Caenorhabditis elegans: one gene and its partner. The protein of the gene in region 1 interacts with the protein of each later gene in a pairwise test. Each region holds a gene or a part of one and is shown on either strand. Other genes may lie near its edges.

Region 1 (9,988 bases):
GAGATGGAGAAGATATTCAACATTCATTGGCAGGATTAATTCCTAGTTCCTCGTTTAGACAACAGTGAGTTTGAAACAAAGAGTTAAGATTTTTTGTAAACGGAGTAACTCATTTTTGAGTGATTTCTAATTTTTTTTTTCCTATTTCCAGAGTAGTCCTATACGCTGATGAAGTTGAACGAGAGCAAGAGCAAAAACGAAAAGAATGCAAAGGAAAGAAAAAGAAGAAGCTCGAGGTCAAAAAAGGGGCTGACGAGGAAAATCTTCCAGCAATCGGAGTATATTCTGACTTCCTGACTTATGAAGAAGTTGTGCTTGAACTACCAAAAGCCACACATCGAAGACCGATTGTTCTCTGTGGAGCTGAAGGAGTTGGATGTTTGAAGCTGAGAGACCGTCTTCTGGAATCAGATCGGATAACGTTAGCTTGCCCAGTTCCATGTGAGTTGTGAAACAAGTTACACAAGATACATATAAACTCTGTAAGACAATTTTCTAGGAAGATCCTTACTTTCAGATACTTCTCGAACCCCAAAAGAAGGCGAATTCAACGGAGTTCACTATCATTTTGTATCAAAACAAAAATTCCACGAAGATGCCAAATCTGGAAAGTTTGTCGAATTTGGTGAATATCAAAAGTTTTGGTACGGAACAGCCAAGAAGGATGTTGTTAATGTAATTGAACGTGGAAAAACATGTGTCATGACATTGAAAGCTGAGGTAAAATTAATTTTCATTTATCATTCTTTATCACAAATTTCAGAGTCTCGGAGCGATTCGATCTCCAGATATTCAACCATACATAATATTTATTGCTGCACCATCACTTTATATTCTTCGAAGACAACGAGAAGTTGAAGGAACTTTTGGAGTGAAAGATGATGAGTTGAAAGCAATTTTGACACAAAGCAAAAGTATTGAACAGGTTTGTAAACTTTAGGCAATACACATCTAGGGAAATTAATTCAATATCTGTTTCCAGAAATACGGGCACCTTTTCGATGGAATCATAGTCAACATCGATTTTGAAAAATCATTCCGTGAGCTGAAGCAAATTCTAATGAAAGTGAATACGGAGCCAATGTGGGTGCCGGCTACATGGACAGCGTGCTAATTTGTAATCGAAAAAATCATAATTATCGGTTCGTCGAGTACTCCCAAAATCATAAAAATCGATATCTAGTCTTCAATTGTCATCATCTCTCCCCGGTCTTTGTATTCTTAAAATTCCCATTGATCAGATCATTCCCATTATGACGCTTTTATTGTTTTGGATTTTTTAATTCTACACATTCCCCTATGGGTATTTTATGAGCTGTGATTTTGTTTTCTTTGAATAATCATGAATAATTAAAAACAAGTTTGCAAATGTTTATTTTGATGAATTGTTTTTTTTTTGATTACATCCAAAAGATATGAGGTAATCCGAAAAAGATGATTATTGCAAAAGGCACTGTTGAAATGAACAAGTAAAACCAGAAAATGCAGGTAAAAAGGCACTGTATGAGCAGATATTGCAATGGGATGAGAAATGTTTGAAAACAAAGGATTGATTATAAGAAAAATGAGAAAAGAAACCGAAATCGAATCGAAAATTTAAAGGCCTCGGATATACACGAATTTTTAATTTTTGGGACGTTGTGAAAATGTATAAATTATTTAAAAAAAAACAAAAGGTTATTGGAGAAATAAAAACTATTTTTAACTAATTTTTTTATGTGGAGGTTTTCTTGTAAACTAAAAAATTCTAATTTTATTTGACATGTTTAATCAGAAGAGACACCATCATCATCTTCTTCCATCTCCTCATCTTCAGGAGCTTCAGATGGTTCACCATCTTCACATTCCTCTTTCAGATATTTCTCAATTCCACCAATTTTGAGATCTCCACCGGATGCAAGGATTTGCCTGAAAATTGTGATTTGTTGAAATTGAATTGTTGCGTTTGTTTTTAAAAAATGTTAATCTTGTAAATGTTTCCAAATTGAAACATCAATGTTTCTGTGGAATATAACTCACAATTTTTCGATATCAGATCTCGTTGGCAACGGATGATCGATGAAAAAAGCAGGGAAGCATTGGCCGAGCTGTTTCTTGATCTCCTTGATATGCCCCAATCGATTGTCTACACACCGTTCAGCACACAAAGGATGACTCTCGCGCATATGCTTCATTACAGTCTCCTTGCATTGGTTTCCAAAAGAACACGCCGAGCAAGAGTACAGCTCAACACCATCCATATGAGTGTAAGCGTGCTCGGGAAGGCGACTATTTGTCTGTTTTCCGCACTTTTCGCAGTAGCAGAATTCATTAACCTTCTTTTTGTAAAACTGAGCTCCACCGATAAGAATCGAAACGGAACGAGCAACTACTGCGTCTTCCTTCTGCTTTTTTGACTTTTTTGATCGAATATTGAAAGCTCTTCGCCATTTTTTCTTGGAGCTCTTTGAGCTAGTGATAGGAGTTGTTTCTTCTCCTTCACCATCATCATCTTCATCTCCTTCTCCATCTTCGTCCTCATGCTCCTGCTCATGTTCCACTTCATCGTCTTCTCCCAACTCTTCCATTTCCTCATCATTAAGAATCAGAGGCTTCTCCTCTTCTTTGATAGCACTATCATTCGACGCTTCCTCATCAACTGGCACAGCCGGTGAAGCTTCGTGACTACTACTCACCATTGAAACCAGATCTTTGTGTTCACGAGGGGCTGCCGCCGGGAATTTGTTCTTCCGTTTGCTCTCCTGAGCAAAAAGCGAGGAGATTCCGAAACAGGACGCGGACATTTCCTTGACATCGTCTTGATACTCTCCAATACGATCCTCGACACAATCGTCAGTTCCATGCTCTTTCTTTCCATGGACTTGCACAGATTGGGAGCGATCATGCCCAAAGTTGCAGTATTTACAAGTGTAGCGATTGATTCCTTTATCTTTGGCCATATGCCACAGAATGTGGAAGCCACGGATCTGAAACGAAAGTTTTTAGTAAGACATCCGGTCTATTTGTTAAAGGTGCAACTTTTACTATGATTTGTTGATATGAAAGGTATATTAATTTGCGTTAAAATGCAGTTTTAAAAGTGTTTATTTTGTATTTTTTGAAACAGTACAACCGAAAACTCACTCTATTCTGCATGGTTTTTCCACAAAGTCTGCATTGAAGTGGATGATCTTCATCTGGTACAAGCTTCAGAGGTCCGAAACCTAAATTAAAATTTATTTTATAAATATTCGTGTTGTCTGCTTGTTGTATTCGATTATTTTAGAGCAACGCCGATCATTTTCCCTCAATTTTTTGTTTCAGAGAATTTGTGAAATTCAGTATCATATTTTATTATTGCGTTGGTGATTTGTTTCACAACCGATTTGTTGGGGAGAGAGATTGAGGAAGTCAATGGTATTGGTCAAAGTAATCTAAAAATCAGGGGACACATAAAAAAATTACATTGTAAAAGTAACAACCAAATGAGGAGATGAATTGTGAATAAAAAAAAATAAATGAGACGAAAATTCAAAGATCGCTGGGATTTGTTGTGCTCTAGGGGGGGATAGGGGAAACCATAATATCAAGAAAAATTGAGAAAAATCACAAATGGGTAACCTAGAATGAAACTATGATAAATATGAAAATGGGTAGAAGTTGAAGAAGAGAAATTTTGAGAATAGAAAAAAAAATGAAGAATGAGGTAAAAAAGTGGAGGGTCAGGTCACAACACGATAAAAAAACGGAACGAAAAATAGAAAAATAACCGGGCTCACCACAACGATTACACAATATTGATTTAAAGAGAACACTAGTAAAAATGGGAGATCAGATGGAGAAGGGCGCCGTTTTTTGTCATAACAGGAAAGTTCATGGGGAAAGTATAGAAAAATAAATAAAAAAGTTAATGAATGAAGCAGAAAGAAAACGGGGCAGACAGGTAATAAGAACTCAACTTCGGTGTGTAACGGTCACATTTTGTGCAAACTTTTCATAACTGATTTTTAGACAATTTTCAAAAGATTTTTTACCGCAAAAACTAATTTTGCAAACTTTTAAAACTCAAATCGGAGGAAACAACCGGCGCGCTCTTCTTCTCATCACCCATTTTCTGATTGGAGAAGCAAACAAAATAGAAGGTTCCTAATGAACATTTCCTGACATGACAACTACAACAACATCGGTTTACGGAGACAACAACGGTCCGATGGTTATCTTGAAATCTGTACCGTTTGAAGTGCTACCAGCAGTGCCTGCGGTTGAAGAGCAAAGACTTGACAATCCGGGAAGTTTCGACTTTTGTGAATTCTGAAATTTGTGGAGGTGGAAATGAGAATAGAGAGATGAGAAGGTAGGAGGAATAGGAGGAGGAAAGATGGATAGGAAAACACAAGGATATCACACTCAGGCAATAGGTTGTTTAGAAAGTTTGGATAGATTAGAGTTCTAATTACTTCCCAAAACTTTTGAAAGTTTTCAGAGAGCGGGAGGAAAAAATTAATCACACAGCAAGTAAAGAATTTGCAGGATTTGAAGATTGTGACGTAGTAGATGATATTCCGTGACCTCTGGATCTTACCCGTTGAGCGTTGGCTGCTTGTTGTGCTGCATAGGCGATTTCAGCTTTTGCGGCAGTCGGTCCGGGTATCGTTCCATTTTTAGTTCCGAGCAGTTCCATGGAGAGATCCTGCAAAACCCGGGCACATAGATTTCACTCGGTTAGTGAGGTTGGGGAGGGAGGTTTTGTTTATGGTTGTTTTTCTAGTATTTTTTGAAAGATATTCATTTTGTGAGAGGGTGGAAGAATTACAGATGCATGCCAAGCAAAAAATGCAACTTAAATTGGGAATAAATTAAGTTGGCTGATATGGAAAGTCAACTTAATTCACCACCAATTTTTATTCACAGACACATTCACAAATCACAAAACCATGCAGATATTAGAACATATCACCAAACGTAGAAGTAGATGGAGTGGTTAGACGAAGGATTGATAGTTACAAGATAGAGATAAGTGAGACCAACACCAAACGACACCAACCTGGTAGCCGGCCAAATCAGCCGAACCACCCGTCCACTGCGGGCTCGCGCGATGTCCGTGACGATGTGCAACGAAAAGCTCGTGATTTAACTCCTGGAAGAGATAGAGAGATGGTGTGTTTGTTCAGTTGAAGTTGATTCGAATGTAGTTGAATGGTTGAGTTGGTTTTTGGTTACTAGTACGATAACAACACAAATGCGCTCATTTCTTTTGGTTTTCTATTAGTGTGAAGCTTTTAAAGAACGATATATGTATATGTTTAACATTCTGAAAAATCTGAAAAATGTGCTTCTAGTAATAGCTCGATAAAATACTAATTCAAAACTATAAAATTACGGCTTACAACATATAGTTTTACAACATTGACCAAATAATAAGTGACTGATAAGTGATTGGGTGAGAGCGCAGATGCGAGTATTCCAAACTAACCTGACACTTTTGAAACAATTCCAGCGAACGATCCTCCATCATATCTGGATCAATTCTGCCATGGGCTTTCGACTGATGATTCTCCATTTGATCTTTACGGTAATGCTCGACACTACATCCCTCATGCTTGCAGCGGAAACGGAAAATCAGTTCATCCTTCGCCAAGTGGAAGAACATGTGCATTTGTCGGGCTCCAGCAGTCACGGGCTTCTGACATTTAGAGCATTCTCCGAGCACACGCTTTTTCGAAATGCTTGACGTCTTCTTTGTTTCCGTTTCAACACTTCTATCGGGAGTGGAGCCAAAGAGAGCGGCGACGTTATCGAGAACAGAGATTGGATTCAACGAGTCCAACAAGGGATCTTCATCGTGTGGCATCTCACCGTCATCATACTTTGTTTTTCGGGCGCCTCCACCGAAAAGCGTTGCGAGTGTGGAAGTGCTGTCAATGTTGAGATCGTCGACAGAGAACAATGTAGCTGCAACTAACAAAAATCTTTAATTTGGAAATTCTCGAAGCAAGATGCGAGTTTTTTGTTGTTTTTTTTTCAAAAACCGTCATGTAATTTTCAAGAAAGTAATCAACTAGCGAAACTTTGAAACTTCAATTTTTGAAAACTCACGGTGATCATTTTCCTCATTTTCAGGTGTCTGGGCATGGCTGAAAGAGTTCAAGCTGGCCAAAAACGATTCCGCACTCGGAGCAGCCAATTCCATAGTTGTTATGGCTTCGGTGGCAGATGTGGGCACATAGGGACGTTTTCTGCCACTGGAGCTTCTTGTGGAAGAACTTTGTGCTTTATGTTCACCAATTTCTCCATTAATTCCAGTAAAATCGAGAAGCTTGAGAAAGTCTGCAGTAGCTTGAGCCGTTTGCTTCTCTTTTTCTTTGTGATGATTTACAATTGCAGTAGCAGCAGCTTGAGCCGACGCAGTTGCAGCTGACGTGGCACTACCATTCGAAGTTGAGGTGTTTCTTCCGGAAGATGGTGAAGAGTTCATTCCACGGTGATAACTTGTCGGTGAGTATGGAGATGCAGATGTAGAAGAAGATGGATGATTTTTTGCATTCACTCGTTCCGAGACATTCAGTGAGAATGCACTGTCCATCAGAATTTGTAATCTCCGTTTTGCTTTCACATTGTCCACATAAATGAACTTGCTCATATTTTTCTGATGTGATGAATGAAGATGCTCTCTCATTTGTGCATCAGAAGCTCGTTCTACGAGACACATTGGACATTGAAATGGAAGCCATTTGAGATGTTCTGTCTTAATGTGAATCTCCATTTCTTCTGAATTAGCTTTTGTGACTCCACATTCAACACAACTCAATTGCATCGAAGGAGTATGGTTGGAGATGATGGTTGGATCGGTTGGATAAAGTCCACTGTTGGATGTTAAGGATGTTGAAGTAGTGTTCCCATTCTGTTTCAGACGATTTGCAATATCCTCGATTCCATTTTTTGAGCCATTGGAGGTCATTGAGACTGAAAAAGATTTATACAGAGTTTTCTCCAGAAGTAAATTGATAATAATAGTTTCTCGTTGTTTTTGTTTTCTAATTTCAATATAGATTCTCCGAAGATTCTGATAAAAATTGAAACTTTTCCCAAAAACGTGATGAAAAAGTATAATAGTTTTCAAATTTAAACATTTCCAACAGATTGTTCCAGAAGACGTATTATAATTTTAATATAAAAAACCAACCTGTTGCGTTGATACTCTCGAGAAAATTTCGACGACTTTCCTCAAAAACGTCTAACTGGTCGGGAGAATTTGATAGACTTGCGTTCAGTATAATCTCGTTGTCCTCTCCGCTGATGCTCATCAGGTGATCTGGAAAACATAGTTGTTGAGAGCTCGCAGCTTCCTTCACACAGTTTGCACAGTGACAGAGAGCACTGCTGCTCCTCAATGTTGATTCGCCGATTTTTTTTTTGAGAATATCTACGCCGAAACGAACGAAACGACAGCGAAAAAGCGACAGATATTTGCGGCGCGGAGAGCTGTCTTCTTCTTCTTATTCTTCAAAAACAGAAAATGAAGCAGCGCCTCTTACCTGGTGTTGACGATCACACGACGAGTCTCGTGGAGAAGGAAAGCAACGATGAGAAGTGTAGGTACGCTGAAAGAAAAATGAGAAAATGAGAGAATTCGGAAGAGGAGAAGATGAATGAAAGAATGCTCGTACAAAGCGTCAGGAAGAAGAAGAAGAAGAAATTGATAACGGGGTGATGATGACGGAGAAGAGGAGGTGACGAGGAAAGAAAGTGGCGTCGCCCCGGTTGACGAGGTTTTATGAGCCGGCAAAATTGCGAAACGGCACGCCGATACACTTCTGAATACAAAAAATTTTTTAGCAAGTGGTTGAACTTTTTTTAAAAACAAAATTGATAAAATGCATAGGATAACAGTATTCAATTTGCAATGGAAATATTCTAATAAAAATTTTCTTGAGGAACAATTTAAAATTTCAAACGATGATGGAAGAAGGCAAAAAAAGAAGTTAGAAAACAATTCATAGCAATTACCAGCTCACATTTTCGGAACTTCTTGTTTATTAGATGAATACAACATCTACAGTAATCGAAAAAAGCAACCTAGATTTTTACATGTATTGACGTGATGAGGTGATTATGATGATGATGATCACCGGGATGAAGAAAATAAGAAGAAGAGAAAGAAACCGGAGGAGACATCTGACGCTCTGACTCGAAGAGATGGCTGCGTCTGTTGGCAGCAGCCGTCCCAACGAGAAGAAGAGGAAGAAGAGGACATTGGGGGCACCGAGCCCACCGCCATCATCACAATACAGCGCACACACACACAAGCACACATACTGACACACACACGACGACCGATCGACCGCACACAGGCACACACAGAGCGGGTGGAGACTGCACACAGTGTCCACAGAAGACGGCGACGACGGTTGATGACGATGACGGCGCGATCGGAAAGCGAGATGCGGAGAGACGCAGAAATATGGAGACACAAGCTGGACGTCGATCCGAGGAGAGGCAAACGCCCGGGAGAAGAAGGCGGGCCCCCTCCTCTCAGTCGTCTCGGAGTGATCGCGGTCGTCGCCGTTGGCTTTGTGTCGGGGTATGTATGCGGGAGGCAACAACGACGACGCCGATGATGGAGACACACACGGGAGGCTTTGAGACAAGAGATAAAGAGTGTGCAGAGCGGTGAGACGCAGTGAAAGACACTGTCCCGGAATGGAGTTGAGTACGTTTACGGTCAATGAGAATAGAGCTAGGCAAATGAACGTTTATAGTTAGAAGAAGTAGAAGAGGAGGGAGGATGATGATAAATAATTAGAACACTACATTTCTACAGTAATCCTTCAAAAGTTTCTTGCTTTTAAACTGCTTCGCTTGAGCAGTGTTTTCAGATCCAATTTTTGGGGCATTTTTCCTGTTATTACTAGTGTCAAATCGAAAATCACAAAGAGTATCAGCAGGTAATGTCAAAACAATTGTGTTGTTTCGTAGTTAAATGTACATCGGTTATGTGCCTTTTTCATCTAACTTATAGTTAGGATATAGTTGAATACATGTACAGATGAATGACGTGGTGCAAAGGTGAATATATTCAAATGTGCGGCGTCGCGTCGGAGACCCCACGCGCCTCTGCCCTCCATGGTGGGGCTGTGGGATGCCTGATGCAGATGCACATAGGAAACTGCCTGCTGCACACTATTTCGTTTTGGTATCGATTCATTGATACATACTTCTGATGCAGCCGCCAGCCATCGTGGAGGACGAGAGACGAGTCGTGCAACATGCCCTCAACACTGATATGATAACAGACACTCTTTCGTTATGTCGACGAATCGTTCTTCTCGTCGTTGATGATGACAACTTCGAGAAGAACACACATAGACTAACATCCATTGAGAGGGGGGTTCAGAGCTATTCGGAGATGGAGTAGGATTTTCTCGAAGCGGAGTTGGTGCGCTCCATTTGTCAAGTGTCTTTGTAGAGAATACACAGAAAAAGCACAGTGAGGAGGAAAGTGCCTCTCTCGCACGCGGGCGGAAGAGCAAGAGAGCCGGTGTATGTGCTCCATCTCTTCATTCCCGCGCGAGAAGCAAAGAGTCAACTTCTTCTCTCTTCTTCTCCCACCCCGCTTCTTCTCCTTCTTCTTATTCTTCTTGCAGCTAGTCAGTCAGTATCGAGGAGAGCAAAATAAACATTCCAACGTCTGTCCTCTTTTCATCGTCTTCGTCTTCTTCTTCAAAGATTCTCGGCCGATTGGGATTGACTGACTTGACGGGAAAGACGGGAACGTTGAGTGTACAGAAGGATAGCGGGAGGTCGCGCAACATACAGACACATACTGTTGGAGAAGTCAGTGAAGAAGAAGAAGACGAATGGAGAAGAAGGCGAGGACGATGGTGACGAGGAAGGGGAAGAGTAAAGGGAACAGAAAAAGAAAAAAGAGCGTCGATGGTAAGGACAGAAAAACCAGCAGAATATACGGAAAAGTGATACATATTGAGATGTGGATGAATGATGTGGTGAA
Region 2 (8,183 bases), on another chromosome or scaffold:
AAAATATATAATTTGAAAATTTGAAAAAAAAGACCCGCTAAAATCGTGGCGAGAGCCAATTTAAAGGTTTATTTTTCAAAATTATTGAAAAATAGAGAACAAATATTTTGAGTTTTCCAGAAAAAAACAGCGAAAAAAAAGGAGTCAAGACTTGGGTGGTTTTTTTTTTTTGAAAAATCATGCACAATTTTCAGTACTCGACTGATAGCACATATACACACATAGGAGAGAAGAACATCTAACCCAGGGGTGCGCGGCAATCGAAAATTTCCGGCAATCGGCAATTTCGACAATTGCCGGTTTTCAAAATTTTCGGCAATCGGCAATTTCGGCAATTGCCGAAATTGCCGACAATTCGATTGCCGTACGGCAATTGCCGCGCACCCCTGATCTAACCCCCTTGGCGATGCGAAAATAGCAGTACTGTAATTATAGCCACCGGTCTTTTTTTTGGAATTTTTTTTTTGGTTTCGCGAACGGAAATTCGTAAAAAAAAAGGTAAAATGAAAAAGTAACCAGTGAAAGTGATTGGGAGGATGCACGGGGTTCTGGCTCGACCCCTCGGTGTATTTTGTGCAAACACCGTCACGCGCAAATGCATACACTTTTTCAACGCGCTGCGTGAAAATTCCTCTTGCGAGATCAAATATTTTTTCCCGCCATTTTCCAAAATTTTCGAGAGGGGGGTCGAGCCAGAACCCCGTGAGGATGATATATATATTGATAAGGGAGACCGGTGGAACGTGAGAATTTTGAATTCCCGCGCTGGACTACGGTAGAAAGGTGAAATTGGAATTTTTTGATAGACTCTGGAATTTTCGGTTAAAACACGGAATTCTGGCTTCCCTCATGAATCGAAATGGCAGAGTTTGCCGAATTAGGCCATTTTGGGTCGGAGAGATTTTGTGTAGATTTACGGCGCGTTTTAGTTGTAAAACTACAGTTTGTTGTCCGTGTGGAGTACACGAAAAAAATTGTTTTTGTTTTTTTTGTTGATTTGTATAAAATTTTTTGATACATTTTTTTGTAATAAATAATTGAAAAAATACAATAATAAATTATTATACATTCCCACAATTATGCAAGCTTATTTTAAAGACGCATACACTGTTGGGTCTCGTCACGAATTGCGTGATTTTGGACGCTTCTAGGATCCAAAAGACGTAGATCGTGGCGAGACCTAAAGGTAATTGCCATGACATTTTTTCGACGTATGTATAATAAAATTATTATTATCATAAAATGATAAAAAGTTTCTTCAAAGCAAAAAAATAAATTATTACACATTCTCAAAAATATACTCTCCTATTTTAAAGGCGCATACACTTCTGGGTCCCGCCACGATTCACATAATTTTGGGTTCTTTTAGGATCCAAAAGACGCAGATCGTGGCGAGACCCATCGGAAAAATATGAGTTTTTTTTTTCGATTGGTAATTTTTTGCAATTTTTGCAAAAAACATGCACCTTTCATCAGCTGGCATTTTTTGGCGAATGTATAATAACACTTTTTTGTCCTGCCACGATCCACGTAATTTTTAGTGATTTTAAGCTTCAAAAAGTCGAAATCGTGGTGAGACCCAAAGTACAAAAAATGTGTGCGCCTTTAAACTGAGATGAAATTTTTCGACGAATGTATAATAATTTTTTTCCAAATTTTTCACAGCACCTTATTACAAGATGGCCCAATTGGCCATAGTCCTTCGGCTCGACATTCTTGAAGAATTTGTAAAAACCCCATTGGTTTTTTTGGCCTGAAAATCTATTAAATTTTGGGACCGAGGCGTGTGAACAAGATAGGAAATAGAGGTGAAAACCTGAGAAATTATCGATTTTTTTGTATAGCCGTTAAATATAGAATAAAAATGTTGAAAAATTGGTTGAAGCGGAAATGTTTGGGGCAATTTATAAGGGGAAAAGGGATTTTTAAATTTCTAAATTTTGGAATTTTTCACTAGAAAAGAACCGTTAACTGAGAAAAATTCTAAAAATTAGCTTAAACTCGGCGGAATTTCAATTTTTTCGAAAAAAACTTGATTATGAAAATTCCAAAAACTTTCCAAAAATTCGAAATTTTGAGCCAGCTTCTTCTAGAAATTTTCTCAAGGAAGTTTCAACAGAAAAATCAATTTTTTGAGAAGAATATGAATTTTGAGCTCAATTTCACTCAATTTTCAGGGATTTTCTGAAAGTAAAAATTTTCAATTATTTGAGAAAAATAGAATTTCCGGATCAACTACACTATAAATTCTAGGAATTCAGGAAAAAAATAAATTCCAAAAAACCGAAATTTTGAGCCAACTTCTTCAGAAAATTAGCTTAAAATTCGTGGAAATTTAAAAATAAAAATTAACAGATTTTGGGCTCCAAAATACCAAATTTCTGGCTCAATTTCCCTCAATTTTCACGGATTTTCTAAAAATAAAAATTCTTTAAAAAATACCAAAAAAAAATTTTTGAGCCAGTTTTTTCAAAAAATTAGCTAAAAATCAGAAAAATTCCAAAAATTTTAATTTTTTCGAGAAATCTGGCCATTTTTTTTTCTATTTTTCAGTAAATGTTTTGGAATTTCCTATAGAAAATCGGGGAAAAATTTAAAAATCCAAATTTTTAAAAAAAGAAGTTGGGCTCCAAGAATCCCCTGAAAATGGGAATTTTGGGCCGATTTTTACGGAATTTTTACAATAAAAAAACGGAGGAAAGTGCAAACGGAAAAATGAGACACAGAAAATAAAATGGAAATAAAAGAAGGATCAAATTGAGCACAAGTCAAGGGCGTCGGCGAGCAACTCTTTCTCGATATCGTTCGACGGGTCCATTTTGAGTGCGAGCTGAAACATTCCAATGGCGGCTTCTTTGTTTTCATTGTAAAGAAGCGCTTTGCCCAGGTGTACAATATTATCGATCCAATACGGTATGAGATCGAAAGCGGATCTGAACTGATAAATGGCATCGTCGATAGCGTCATATGGGGTGGCATAATGATGAATTAACTGTTGTCGGTCAGACTCCCAAATCTCCAGTGCTGAAAGAGCCCAACGGCCAAGAATATTATTGTACATTGCATTTTTTCCTGCCTGGATAGAGATGGCACGATCGAGATATTGTCTGCAGTGTCTCATCTCCAGATTCTTTTCATCGCCTTCAAGATATTCGATTGCCTTTCCTGACATCACAGCGGCCCAATGAGCAGCCAAGATGTTGTACGAATCGGTGTTCCAGGCTTCGGTAGCGTACATCTTTCCTTTGATTATGATGTCCTTTCTCTTTTCCTTCTCAACAAAATTTCCAATTTTTGTACACAATTTTGCCAAACGACAGAGAAGATCGATGGACTTCTCTCCAGAATCGTATCTCTGCAAATTTCGAATTTTATTTCATTGTTTAAATACAAATGAATAGTCTACCATCTTTAAAGCTTCAAAACAGTCGATATAGAAGTCACGAGTAATCATTGGAGAATCAACGACAGCAATCTGAAATCGAATAATTTTTCGTTAAAAAGAGTATCAAAATTTTAAAACTGTCACATCAAATTTGAATTTAGCCAAGCCCGTGAAAAATTCCCTCTCGATTTCGGATGCCAAAAATTGGCTCGAATCGAGAGATATTCGGGAGATGCTGGAATCAAATAAGACCTACTTTCTTTTAGATTTCCGCCGATCACCACAAAAATGAAAAGAGTGGGTAATACATGGCGGCCGACAACCCACGGGTTCCGCGCCTCGCTCTAAATTAAGTCAATTAAGCCACACCCTATCAGTTGGTGTGCTTTTGAAGGGCGTGGCTTAATTTACTTAATTTATAGCGAGGCGCGGAACCCGTGGGTTGTCGGCCGCGATATATTACCCACTCTTTTCATTTTTGTGGTGATCGGCGGAAATCTAAAAGAAAGTAGGTCTTATTTGATTCCAGCATCTCCCGAATATCTCTCGATTCGAGCCAATTTTCGGCATCCGAAATCGAGCGGAGTTTTTCGCGGGCTTGGCTGGATTCAAATTTAAGGTGACAGTTTTAATATTTTACTTTTAATATAATACTTAACTGTATAAAAAACCTGAACTGCCTACTGTAGAACTGGCGTCGATGTATTGGCTTGCTATTTGTAATTTTCTGATCAAATTGTGACAGCGAAATTCAAGTTGTTGTCATTTTTGTGATTTCTTTTAATTTTTATCGAATGATTTCCGTAAGTCGCCGCTAGTGATACAGTAGTCTTTGAAAAAGTTACTGTAGTTTTCGATACAAGATATTTTGCGCAAAACGCATTCTCAGATAAAATAAAATTATCATCTGCTCCTTACCAGCTTTTCCGTGCTCGTGTTTCCCCAATGACGAATAACCGCTCGCATGATCACTGAATTGAATTCTTCAATCACATCACCGGATACTCTCACTGCTGCAATTATGGAATCTACAATTCTGAAATATTATATTTATTTTAGCTCTGAGATAACAACAATACCTAGTATTTCTAATTTTTGGATCATCGAATGTTTGAGCATTTTCGTGAGCTAAAAGAGTATGCTCTTTGGCCTCTTCTGCAGAGCCAAAGCTCTCTTCGCACTCTGAACACATGTGTTCCAGATGATGATCCGCAGTGAGATGATCGTCCCTGAAACAAAAACCGGTGATTATGCAATACAATGTTTGACTTACAGTTTGGAAAGCGAAAAAAGTCCACAATCTCCACGTGGGCACGCAAAAGTGTGAGCCATTTTATGTTCAAAAATAAAAATCTGAAAGTTCAAAAAATTAGGAATATTTCAGAACATTCATGCCATATAAATTACGAGCCTTCAGAATCACTAAATTTTTTAGGAGGACGAATGTGTGAAAGATATATGAAACTATAATACGTGAAAAATATTTATAAGAGTAAAACGTCGTTTAAAAATGAGAAAAAAGAAGATAAAATGCGGTAAAACACCGCGAAATTATTCAAATCACTCGATTCGCGCCTTTTTCCTATGCGCAGTAGAGCGCTTTTGCTTTGGAGACGTTGCTGTATTATGAGATAAATGAGTGTGCAGAAACGGGAACGCAGGATAATTATAAATTATTGTAAGGATCTGATTTGAGCATAGTGGGAAAAATTTTAACAATTTGGTTTTCAATTTATTTTAACTCTGAATAAAAGAAAATATTAAAAATTGGGCGTGATGTTTCTATTTATGGGAATAATTTTCTCTCGAATCAATATCTATGAAACTTGCACTTCACCGAGGCGTGGTCTCTCCTCTCTTTTTTTTTCCTTTGCCATTTTCGCATTTTTCTTGTTATTCTCTCAAGAAACACGCGAAAATTAACATTTTTTGCAGATGGTGACCAAAAAGAAGGCACGGAAAAACGAAGATTTCAAAAAAGTCAAGCTGAAGGTGGGAAAAAAGCTGAAAAAAACGACGACCACCGACACGACTATCAAAGGTGAGTTTTCACCCGATTTTCGCGAATTTTAATTCATTTTTTCAGCAAAACGAGTAGTATTGGCGACTCAGTTGGAGGAAAAAGTGGAAACAGATGATAATCCACTTAGTTTCCGTGGTCTAACGCTCGATGAGCTCTGCAAGCAGATGGGGCACTTTAATGCGGTAATTTTTCGCTGAATATCGATCAAAATTAATAAATTCTCGTTCAGAAAGTGAAAATGAACGCTATTCAAGGACTAAAACAGATTTTAACGTCTCGCCCGGATCTTGTCAACGTCCAGTTGAGGCTTTTGGTTCCCTGCGTGGCTGTGCACGTGGCTGACGCTTCTTTCGAGCCCTCCACACGTCAGAATCTACTGAATCTCTACAAAATTCTGTGTACAGCTTCAATTCAAGCAATGTCGGCTCATATCACACTTTTCCTGTCCCACGTGCTCCGCGCTCTAACGAATATCGTCACAGAGTGAGTGGATTTTTTCTGAAAAATGGGAAATTTTGAATTTTCAGAGTCCGCCACCTCGCACTGAGCACACTTTCGGTGCTTCTCGATCGATATCCGAGCCTTTGCCGGAATCATGCCGATCTCTTCCCCTGTTTTATCAATTATCTGGGCAGTTCGAAGCGTCTGGCGTGGAATAAGCCGGGATTAATCGATACAATTCTCAATTTCATCAATGTTCGTAGTTTTTTGCCTGGAAATTGCGAAAAATTCACTAGAAATTCGAGAAAATCGATTTTAAACTGCATTTTTATGTGTGGTCCTGGAAAACACAAAAAAACCAGAAAAAAATGAAGAAAAATCGATAAAAAATCCGATTTTGCAGCAAGAATCAGAGCAAAATTGCAATTTTGCGCTGAAAAAACTTAAAAAATGGATTAAATTCTGTATCTTTCGGTAAAAATCTTGGAAGTTGACTGAAAATCCGAAAAATAAATTTTTAAACTTGAACTTTCTGTTTAAAACACAAATTTTCGACTGAAAACTAGTGAAAAATTCAAATTTTGTGGTTAAAAAAGCTGAAAACTCAGCGATTTCCCAGAAAATTGATATTTTTCAGTAAAAATCTTAGAAGTTGGCTGAAAATCCGAAAAATACATTTTTTAAATTGCAATTTTCAGTTGAAAACTCCAAAAAATTACTAAAAACCACAAAATTTTGACCGAAACCTGTTAAAAATGGCAATTTTATTGTAAAAAAGCTGAAAATTCACTGGCATCTAGTTTTTTTTCAGAAAAAATACTGAAAATTGACGAAATTTGCAGTTTTTTCAGTGAAAATCTGGAAAAAATGCACGAAATCTCGTAATTATTTCATTTAAAAGCTTGAAAATTCGCTGAAAACTCTAAAAAACTTCGAAAAAATATTTTTTTTTTCTTTCAGATTTACGATATAAATCGAGAACGACACGTGGATCCTTCCACCCTGGAAATCCGATTCGAAAATGAGAAAATCGAGGGAAAAAGTGATTTGAAACGAGTTTTTGTGCAGGTTTTTGCAATTTTTCCACGTAAAAAAGCCTAAAATTCCATAAATTTCAGAATCCCGACGTGAGCCCATTCGAATTTGGAGTTGTGAGCTCATCGAAATCCAATGCAGTTTCACCATTTGAGCTGCCGGATGCTTTGCTCAATTTGGCAAATGTACTGGCGCCAATTATTTGTACGGATTTTGCAGATTTTTAGCTAAAAATCGGGAATTTTGAGTAGAAAACCGATGAAAATCCAGGAAATTTGCTTTAAAATTGCTCCGAAACCGCTAAAATTGATCACAGTTCGTAATTTTCCGTCGAAAATCAGGAATTTTGCTGAAAAATCGGCCATTTTAGCTTAAAAACCCAAGAATTTCTCTCTTAGCTGAAAATCCACTAAATTTGTTTAAAAAAATGTCCAAAAAAATCTGAAAATGGGATTTTGAAAGCATTTAACCGATTTTCAGACTGAAAAATCGAAAATTTTCAATAAAACTTCATAAAAGTGAGCTCAAAATGCTCCAAAAAAGCAGAAAAACTTAAATTTTAGCGAAAAATTACAATTTTCAGCTGTCTTCCAACGTTTCTATGCATTTTTCACAATTTTTGAGGTGAAAATCCAGCAATTTCGCTTGAAAAATATTCCGAAATCGGTAAAATTGATTGGTAACTCCGAATTTTCCGTCGAAAATCAGGAATTTTGATGAAAAATCAGGCATTTTAGCTTAAAAACCCAAGAATTTCCCTACTTTCTCTGTATAATCCAGAAATTTTTGTTTAAAAATGCCCTCAAAATAGCTGAAATTACGATTTTAAGAGCATTTAACTGATTTTTCAGACTGAAAATTCGAAAATGTTCAATTAAAATTTGATAAAAATGAGCTCAAAATGCTCAAAAAAAGAAGAAAAACCGGATTTTTTTTGGAAAAAAATCACAATTTTCAGCTTTTTTCCAAATTTCTATGTAATTAACAATTTTTGAGGTGAAAATCCAGCAATTTCGCTTGAAAAATGTTCCGAAACCGCTAAAATTTATCGGATTTCCGAATTTTCCGACGAAAATTAGGAATTTTGCTGAAAAATCGGGCATTTTAGCTTAAAAACCCAGCTGTTTTCCAACGTTTCTATGCAGTTTTCACAATTTTTGAGGTGAAAATCCAACAATTTCGCTTCAAAAATGCTCCGAAATTTAGGGAAAATCCGAGAATTTCAAAAAAAAAAAAAGTTTTCGCACAGAAAATTCTATTTTTACGAAGCAATTTGCGCATTATTATAATAATGCGCAA

Evidence for each region.
Region 2: the proteins of sup-37 (region 1) and sup-35 interact in a two-hybrid assay, tested with the Caenorhabditis elegans proteins (2 studies listed by BioGRID).

Annotation. Positions count from the first base shown.
Region 1 is NC_003283.11:8,784,143-8,794,130, reverse strand, and holds sup-37 (C2H2-type domain-containing protein), read right to left. Parts: upstream 7,587-9,988; 5' UTR 7,515-7,586; intron 7,292-7,514; 5' UTR 7,284-7,291; coding exon 7,163-7,283; intron 6,943-7,162; coding exon 6,076-6,942; intron 5,932-6,075; coding exon 5,453-5,931; intron 5,117-5,452; coding exon of another isoform or gene 5,024-5,116; intron 4,670-5,023; coding exon 4,562-4,669; coding exon of another isoform or gene 4,484-4,561; exon of another isoform or gene 4,291-4,483; coding exon 4,212-4,290; exon of another isoform or gene 3,204-4,211; coding exon 3,124-3,203; intron 2,967-3,123; coding exon 2,020-2,966; intron 1,909-2,019; coding exon 1,767-1,908; 3' UTR 1,355-1,766; downstream 1-1,354. Other genes in the region: magu-2 (MAGUK p55 subfamily member 5), read left to right, coding at 1-64, 152-441, 518-720, 764-925, 983-1,114.
Region 2 is NC_003281.10:11,114,483-11,122,665, forward strand, and holds sup-35 (Regulator of microtubule dynamics protein 1), read right to left. Parts: upstream 4,745-8,183; 5' UTR 4,718-4,744; coding exon 4,659-4,717; intron 4,615-4,658; coding exon 4,465-4,614; intron 4,422-4,464; coding exon 4,304-4,421; intron 4,003-4,303; exon of another isoform or gene 3,879-4,002; intron 3,476-3,878; coding exon 3,407-3,475; intron 3,356-3,406; coding exon 2,753-3,355; 3' UTR 1,741-2,752; coding exon of another isoform or gene 1,669-1,740; 3' UTR 1,272-1,668; downstream 1-1,271. Other genes in the region: Y48A6C.4 (Pre-rRNA-processing protein Ipi1 N-terminal domain-containing protein), read left to right, coding at 5,321-5,426, 5,472-5,590, 5,638-5,891, 5,936-6,104, 6,810-6,917, 6,968-7,088.